2 linked regions of the Coturnix japonica genome follow. The protein of the gene in region 2 interacts with the protein of the main gene of each other region in a pairwise test. Links are inferred from orthologs where the notes say so. Each region holds a gene or a part of one and is shown on either strand. Other genes may lie near its edges. The genes, in order: SS18 and NF-kappa-B inhibitor delta.

Region 1 (4,584 bases), on a different chromosome or scaffold from region 2:
CCAGCGCAAAATACAAATGGCAAAACTGAAAGTATGAAACAAGAAGCTGAAAGAATTCAAGACAAATTTAACATTAGTGCAATCCCTTTTTGGAACAAGAGAAACATAATTTACCCTCACATTAATATTGCTGTGCATTTTGATAACAACTTACTGCTTATCAAATAGAATCTAAATCATTTTTGAGACTCGACCATTTAAACAGACAGACACTAGCTTCATTTTGCAGCAACGTGAATGGCCATGGAGGCTGGGCATGTAGGAAATCCCACCAAAGTCATGAGGTGACAGCAAGTTCAGTTGGGAAAGGAACACCAAACCAACAACAGTAATTCTTCCTCCTGCTACCTTCTATCTTCATCTATCAAGTGCTTACTTGGGGTTTGCTCTAACTGTTATCTGATTGTATTGCTGATGTTATAAAACACACACACAGAAAAGAAACACCCTGATGTTGTCCCCCCCCCAAATAAAAAAGGCTGTAATTCAACCTACCATCCTACTAGCAAAGATCTGATTGAAATATATTTGTATTTGAAGCTCTTGGTGATGATCTAGATTTATGCATCTAAATTACAATTAAATAATGTTAAAGTTGTGAGTAACTCACAAGAGCAAATAAATACGCAATTAAAGAGAAAATATACCATATGTCCTTTGATATCTAGGCACATTGCAATGCATTAAGAAAGTCATAAAAGAGGCACCCTGTTGTGGTTATGTGTTCTGAGACATGTGGCACATTTCCATTGCAGCTATCTATTTCCTTACTTGTACGCATCTGTGCCATTATTTACATGTTGTTTTTAAAGCAGAGCTGTGGAGTCTTTTTCTACTGTTTCTTTAGATCTGTGGCTATTTATGAATACAGAAGCCCAGCATTTTAAAAATAGGAATGATTAATCGTCGCAAAGAAAAGGGAAATAAATGGATTCAATTTAACTGCCTGACAAAGCAAGGAAAGAGATGTGGTTCTAATTATTAGGAATGAATGATTTTACACACATACCAGTTGAATTCTATACACCATTCTCCCATGTTTTGTGTGGAAATAGGAAGGCACTTAAAAGTTTTTCATATTTAATTAGGACAGTTATTGCAAAATATGATCTTCTTCACTCAGAGGGTGGTGAGGCGCTGGCACAGCTGCCCATAGAAGCTGTGGTGCCCCATCCCTGGAGGTGCTCAAGGCCAGGTTGGATGGGGCCCTGGGCAGCTGAGCTGCTGGGGGGCAGCCCTGCCCATGGCACGGGGTGGGACTGGGTGGGCTGTGAGGTCCCTTCCAACCCTGTTAATTAACAAATCTCATCAGTTTAATCAAAGCTGCTGTGACTGCGTTCACTCAAAGCGCAGGGAATGGTAACCATGAGTCACCGTGATGTCTATCAACTTCAGCATAACAGGTTTCTGTCCGGCGCTGAGCAGAGCGGGGTCGGAATGAACCAACGCCGCGATACACAGAGGGGTGGCTGAGGAGGTCGGCATGGCGCAGGGCGGCTGTATTCAAACGGCGCAACGAGCTCTTGATGCCGCTTCTTTGCCTAGCCTTGCAAAAAAGCCTTGTCCCCCTCATGGTTACCTTCTTGCTGCTGAAAAGCGAGGAGGAGCTCGCGGCCCAACTTCGGTTCCCCGGCGGGAGCAGGATGGGCCGTCCCGCTGTGCGGGCTCCCCGCCCTCTCGCAGCTCTGTTCCCGGATCGCGGGTTGTGCGTGAGCGGGCGGGTGGGCGCGGGCTGGGCCCTGCTGTGGCCTGTACGACATGTCGGTGGCGTTCGCGGCCCCCCGGCAGCGGGGGAAGGGCGAGATCACGCCGGCCGCCATCCAGAAGGTGAGGGAGGGCTCGGGGCTTCGCGCCGTGACGGGACGGCGGGGTGGAGCGGAGCGAGGCTGAGGCCTTGGTGCGATGGAGGGCTGCGGGCCTGCAAGCGCTGTGCGAGGCCGTCATGGAAAACAGAGCCGGGCCCTGCGTAACTGTGGGCTCGGCCTACGTGGGGAGAGTGCTGGGGCCGCTGAGAAACATGGCCCTCTCCAGCTCTGCTCCTCTCCTAAAGCTTAAAGGGAAGCGGTATGGCTGGCGGCCGTGACAGGGCTGCGGAGAGAGGGAAGCGTGCCTGTGGTGTGTATGTACTAACACTGAGTATTCCGTGTTGGTGGGGGTGAGGGAGTTCAGTGCTGTGCTTTGGAGCTTAACCGTAGGCCCTCGCTCTTTTCCATGAGAGGCCCTCTCAATTCTTGCTCTGGGATCTCTCCCACTCAATGATGGCAGGCTCCTTGTGTGGGAGCTCGTCGGATACAATCAGCTTGTGGCTTAAGAAAGAACGTGGGTGTCAGCAGGGAGGGTTTTGCAGTTCAGGGCGTTACAGAAGGTATGGGACTTCAGTGGAACCTTGCACAGTACCACAACAGTCTGTGCTTCACAAATGAAGGTGGGAAATGCATATCCACCAGGTAGAAAGCTGCCTTCAGGTCACTTACTTAAGTGTGAGAATGTAGATAATTAGGTTTTTCTTGTGCTGTAGTCAAGCTAGTAATTTGATGTTAGTGTACTGGCAGAACTCTGCTATAGCTAAAGCTGGAGAATCTTTGTAACTGGCACATGTAAGTTGTCAGGAGTCTTGAAGGTGCCTTCATCCAGCCAGTAACTAGGCTGTCTTGTGATGGCAGGTGTCTGTAACTTCTTCAAAGAACTGGTTTTCCATCAGCAGTAGCTTGATAAAAAACATATAAAACAGTGCTTTCAGTCCTGTCAGGCATACAACTGTATTCCTTCTTGTTTGTTTTTCTCTGCTTTTCTCCTAGCTTTATTTCTTTATTTTCCCTAAAGATGTCCAGCCTGTATGGCCACAGTGGAGAGAACAACCATCTCGCTGGCAGTTCTGATTTCTATCTGTATTGTAGAATGGCTTAGATCGGAAGGGACTTCAAAGCCCACCCAGTCCCACCATGTACTGTGGGCACCCAGTAGCTCAGCTGCCCAGGCCCCCATCCAGACTGGCCTTGAGCACCTTCAGTTATGGGGCCCCACAGCTTCTCTCTCTGGGCAGCTTGTTCAGCACATCACCACTCCAGGTGCTAACATGCTTTAAGTAAATGCTGCCTTTCTCTAGATGCTTGGAGACTTTTTGAGGAGGTCCTTCATTCAAGGCTTCCCTTACAAGTACTCTGTGTACTGTATAAATTATACTAATTGCTTTTTCTCCGTTCTCTTTTTCTGTTGAATTTGGCCACTGGGTTTCCTTAACACTTGATGTTAGCACATATGAAGTGTGCCAGTGTAGGAGTGTGTCCGGGATCCTCTTAGGAGTTTGCAGATGTAGTTCTGCATAGTGTCAGGAGTTCAGAAACTTGGAATATTGTGGTTCTGTCTGTGGTTCCTGCTTACGGGTGATGTTTCCAGGTCTAGCAATTTCAGGAAAGATCTGTTTCTCACTGATTGTTCTCCTGTATTTTGGTGAATTGCTAGTTTGAGTTTAGGGAAGACTCAACTCTTTGCTTTATTCTTATCTGGATGTAAATCCTGAGTGGACTGCATAAGGTTCTAAGGCTTATGACCTTTGTAGTAGAGGTGGATTAGTCAAAAGGATTAACAAAGAAGTTGTCTTTTTTTTCTGGTAGAATTTGCTAAAGTTGGATCCCCAGGGAAATGGAAGTGATGTAATTATAGTGCTTGTGCTTCCCTTGTAGAATCATAAACTTGGCTAATCTCAGCCACATTCTGATTTGTGATGTTTTGATTCGGTGTTCAGAAGATGGGAAGAGCCTCAAAGATGATTAAGTTCGTATTAGTTTTGTGAAATTCAGTAGCTGAGTGTCACGTCCATATTGTAAGGGGAGAGAAGAAGTGACCAGATTTGCAGATCTAGGATGTGACACTTGATAGGCTGCAAGGATCTGAACTAGTTTTCCACTGGGGAAACCAAGAAATTGATGTAAGATTTTCCACTTAGCTGAGCAGGCTTGGATAACTTGGTTGGTAGCTCAGATTTGCCTTGGTTTTACTGAACTTCTGCCTGATCAGAGTGCAGATGAGTGGTTAAGACAGAGATATGAGCATGAGGATGTGCAAGTTTGGGAAACTTTCTTCACTAGGAGAGTGGTTAGGCCCTGGAACAGGCTGCCCAGGGAGGTTGTGGATGCCCCGTCCTTGGAGGTGTTCAAGACCAGGTTGGACGGGGCCCTGGGCAACCTGATCTAGTAAATGTGTATGTTTGGTGGCCCTGCCAGGCAGGGGGGTTGGAACTACATGATCCTTGAGGTCCCTTCCAACCCGGGTCATTCTGTGATTCTGTGAAACTAGGCTGTTTATTTTTTCCTGCTTGTTAGCATAGAACATCTTTATTTCATGTACTTCCTGCAGAAGGCTGTGAGACCTGCAGTTTCCCATGGTTTTAGAACTTTATTTTCCCCAGAAAAGTAATTAGTATGTGTTCATATTCCCAAACGCTTCTGAAATATTGTCTATTGTGCTGGTTAAACCACGCTTTAAGAGCGTGTAATTATACAGAACATTTGTAATGTAAATCTGGCTTTACTTTTCAAGGCATTTCCTTGAAACAATCTTGTATGTTAAGCTCAGTTTCTATCA
Region 2 (4,287 bases):
TGCTGGGGAAGGTTACCAACACACAGCTGTTCCAAACACTGCCAACAGCAAAGCATCACAACACTGCTGAGCTGTTTGCTCAGATTTCAGCCCAATGTCACAAAGTTCCCATCCCTTCCCAGGAAACCACATCCCACATCCCTCTCCCCCCATTATCTGTCTTGCTGCCAGGGCTCAGCCCAAGCCCTGCACTAAATCCCTTGTACTGCCTCTTTGCTGCTCAAATAACATATATGGGAGGGGAGTCAGTGCTTTCTGCAGGACCCCAGTGCTATCTGCACTGCTTCTGTCCAGTCTCACCTTGCTGTTGATGAAGTCCTTGGATTTGAAAGCATTCAGCTCCAGGAAATAGCGGAGCAGGGAGACATTCCCATCCTGGACGGTGTAGTGAAGAACTGTCTTGTTGCTTTTCACATCCTATTTAAATGCAGACAGACATCACCAAATGAGAATCTTTCTGCAGAGCAACTTAAGGCACAGTCCCCATACCAGCAAACAGCAGAGGGACAACTGAAGGATGGGGAGAAGCAGTTCCTACCCGGCTGTAGATGGAGGCTCCTGCCTGCACCAGCTGCTGCACACAGCTCTCCAGCTCCCAGCTCTGGTGCTGCAGATCTTCACTCTGCTGTTCCAGCAGTGCCAGGCGGCTCCGGTCCCGTAGCAGTGTGTTATGGGCCAGGACAGCACAGTGCAGCGGGGTATGGCCTGAGGACACAGCAGGGAGGGAGCGATGATGGTCTCCATCAGAGCAACACCGTAAGGGGAGGATGTGAGCTCCTGATGGAGCTGTGGGTGTTCCTGCTCAATGCAGGGGAGGTTGGACCAGGAAGCCTTTAAGGGTCTTTTAAACCTTAAAAGATACTATGCACATATCTTGTAAAGGGCATCCTTAAGCCCTGAGACCTTTCTCTAATTCCAAAAGTCCCATTCTGGATGTACAAACAATTTGGGGGCATTCTGGTGCATACTCAGCTCCATGTGTGCACTGAGATACCACTGAGCCCTGTGGCATTTGAGCTTCCAGCACTGATGCATCTGAGCCCATCACCCCATGCACCAGCCAACCCCAATGTGCATCAGTCCATGACATTGCTGGTATCACTTCTTCCTTCCCTTCATTTTTCTTTTAGGACCACTATAAAATACTTGTGCATAAGGTCTCACCTTCAAAATCCTTCATTTCTAAATCGAGAGGGAGGCCTTGTGAGAGTATCACCTGGGAGTGGCAGAGAAATGTGGCAATTTTAGCTCAGCAGAACATTGTCCATACCACAATGGTTGGAGCTAACAAAAGATGGGGAAAAAAACAACCAACCAACCCCCAACCCTCCCAAAAGAAGCAATTAGACAATAGATAACTATGATTTAACTGTAGGCTAAGCAGTTTGGCACTAGATTTTGGCACTCTGAGTCCTATTTCCAAGCAGGGATGTCACTCAGGGTTGCACAAGATGATCACCAAGTCCCCTAATAGTAACCCAAGGACATGCAGCCAGACCTTCAGCCTTGTCTGAATGACCACAGTTCATGCATATTTTGCTCTGGACTGAATGCAGAACGTTGTTTGCATTGCAGCATCTTGCATGGGGATGTGGCTGCACGGTGACTCATCCCAACCCCGTCATGCTGGACAAGGCACAGGAGGATTACTCAGAAACGTTAGGGCTTGTGCTCTCTTATCATAACAAGAATATAATATACCCAGAGCAAACATTGACAAGAGGCTTTGAGCTGCCTGATGTTTAGAGATTAGACGTCTCAGGTGTTAAGAAGAAGAAAACCAAAAAACACCGTCTCATGTCATGCCTGTGACCCAGGAGAGCAGCAAACCCACGTGCACTATTCCTTGCTCCATCTGATTCCTCTTTTTATGCTTAAAAAACAAACACATAATAAAAAGACTCGTTTCCACTAGTCCAATTGGCACTGATGGAATTATCTGAACGCGCAGCACTTTAAATGAAACACCTGCTTTCCAAAGAACTGCCTGTGTTATACATTAACCACTGCTGCTGGCCCTCCTGGGATGGGTGCCAGGCTGAACCGATGGCCGCTGGAGCTGCATATCCCATATAAACCCAATATAAACCCAAGGGTTTATCCAACACCCTGCAGAGTCTTGTTCAACCCATGCGAGCCCACCATGCAAGAAGATAGATACACTTTTTTCTCTACTAAAAATCTGAACTGCTTACAATCATCCTCCCATCTGAAAGAGTTGTTTAAAGATGGTGATAATGAGACGATAACAGGCTTACACTGCTAACAATGAAACCATAAAAGCTTTTCCTACCTGGAGAACGTGGGCATACCCATATGTTGCAGCAAGGTGCAGAGCTGACTGCCCTTTGTTGTCTATAGCATTGACATCTGCTCCTGCCTGGATCAAATCGTGGACGATTGCTGGCTGCCGGGCAGTGACGGCCACCAGGAGCGGGGTCTGGAAAGGGCAGCACAGCAGAGAGCCCTGAGAGTCTGATGTGATCATAAAGAGAAGAAAGGCAGAAGCAGACTGGGTTGGATGGGATCTAGAAGGCCAAGGGTTGTGGTGCACAAGCCAAGGGGAGCTCACAGGCAGATCTGGAATCCCATAGAACTGTGAGTGAGGGGCACTTCCCAGCTCCTGCTGGGCTCTCTTAATTCAGATGGCAAAGCAAGTGCAGCACTTTCAGAATGCCAGAGCAAGGCATAGCACTGCTCAGAGCTTCTCCTGCAGTAACAGAGAGGCTGAGGGGGGCTGAAAACACAGCATCGCTTGCTCTCAGCCTTATAGCCAGTGCCCATCCCAAATGCTGTTTGCAAGAGGAGATGGTCAGCATTACCTTTCCTCTGTGTTCCTTGGCATCAAGTCTCCGCAGCTCCTTCATGCGCTCTGCAGCTGCCAACGTAAACGCCCTCATACCTTTAGCTGCATAAATATGTAGAATTCTAAGACAGTAAATAAAGATATCGATCACTGCTTGGTCATGGATCACCCTGGAAGCAAACAGTTTTACAGGGTAACAGTGCTGCTTCGGGGGTTTTACATCCAGAGTTCCCACAGACCCATCCATAACCCCAAAGGCTTGAGATTCAGAAAACCCATTTCCAGGAACTGAGTTTCCTACCTCAACATAACTGCTGCTTTCCCAATCCCTCAGCACCCCAAGCTTTGCCATGCTGGCTCCCTTCTACACCAGCACTATCCCTCAGGTGAGCTTGACACTTGTGCCACAATGTACCAGAACCCCACACAAACTCAGCATTGGGGCTCCCACTGGTTTGGGGTCACACTGCCATGTGTAGCATAAAACCAAGGCACAAGGCAGCCCTAGCAGCCCAATTTGCTCACTCTCAACACTTCTTAGTCATAAACTGGTGGGCAGTCGCTTCTTCCCCCAGGTAATTTTGTACCCCAGAGCCACAGCTTGCAATTTTAGGAAGCAGAAATGCAACTTCACAGCTGGTCTGGTTTGCAGTCAAGCTCAGCATGAGCTATGAGTGCACACTGTGCATCCCCATGGTTACCAATAGCAGATGACTGTGATCAAACCAACACCCAAACAGCAGCAGTGCTCGTGTCAGTGAGCAAGCAGTGCTCCCAGCCCACATTTAGACCATGGAGATCCTCTATTAGCCTGACTCAGTGTGCAAAACTAGCAGAAAGCCCAACAGCTCCTTGGGCTCTGGGCTGTACTCATAGACTGATCGCTAACCCAGCGTGCTGGGTCATACTTCTGTGTAGGAAATAAAACACTCCAGGCGTATGGAAGTTACTATAGATCTTTATTGGAGAATAATTTGTCTTTTTCTAACCAGAACAACCCAGAAAGAAATTCTGAAGCAGTTCATCTTTGGTATCCACACAGAGAATTTACATACATTGAAGTGAAAGGAAATCAAATGCAATCTTAGCAACCACGGGCTTGGTTCACACACCTATTATCCCAGTTTTACTGAGTGATTCTGTGCTCGTAAAGCTGGAGTAAGCAGTGGTGAACCAAACTCCTTCTAATTCATTTCTTTGCTGGGTTTTTCTGCTAATATAAGCCACTAATTTCAATGCGCCTGGACTACTGCTATTTTCAAGTGACTTTATGATCACTTATGTGATCTACTGCTCACGTCTTCTAGATTGGTGAATATTAAGCAGTGGAATATGCTTTGAAAGTCCTCAAGACTTTTGCTCTGATCTTGCAAACCTCACTCAGGCATAAACCATTAAGGTTACTTGAAATATTGCCTGGGTGGCAACTGGAGTGCTAGGCACCAGGCAGGCAGCAATGCAATAAATTACTTTGCATAATC

The links.
Region 1: the proteins of NF-kappa-B inhibitor delta (region 2) and SS18 interact in a two-hybrid assay, tested with the Homo sapiens proteins (2 studies listed by BioGRID and IntAct). The two-hybrid records come from large-scale screens. The link is inferred for Coturnix japonica from reciprocal best matches to the Homo sapiens genes NFKBID and SS18.

What each region holds. Positions count from the first base shown.
Region 1 is NC_029517.1:93,986,787-93,991,370, reverse strand, and holds the start of SS18 (protein SSXT), read left to right. Parts: upstream 1-1,673; 5' UTR 1,674-1,758; coding exon 1,759-1,827; intron 1,828-4,584. UniProt on the Homo sapiens protein: Appears to function synergistically with RBM14 as a transcriptional coactivator. Isoform 1 and isoform 2 function in nuclear receptor coactivation. Isoform 1 and isoform 2 function in general transcriptional coactivation.
Region 2 is NC_029539.1:3,677,232-3,681,518, forward strand, and holds the start of NF-kappa-B inhibitor delta, read right to left. Parts: upstream 2,814-4,287; 5' UTR 2,489-2,813; coding exon 2,294-2,488; intron 1,217-2,293; coding exon 1,165-1,216; intron 706-1,164; coding exon 539-705; intron 418-538; coding exon 301-417; intron 1-300. UniProt on the Homo sapiens protein: Regulates the expression of IL-2, IL-6, and other cytokines through regulation on NF-kappa-B activity. Functions in the regulation of inflammatory responses.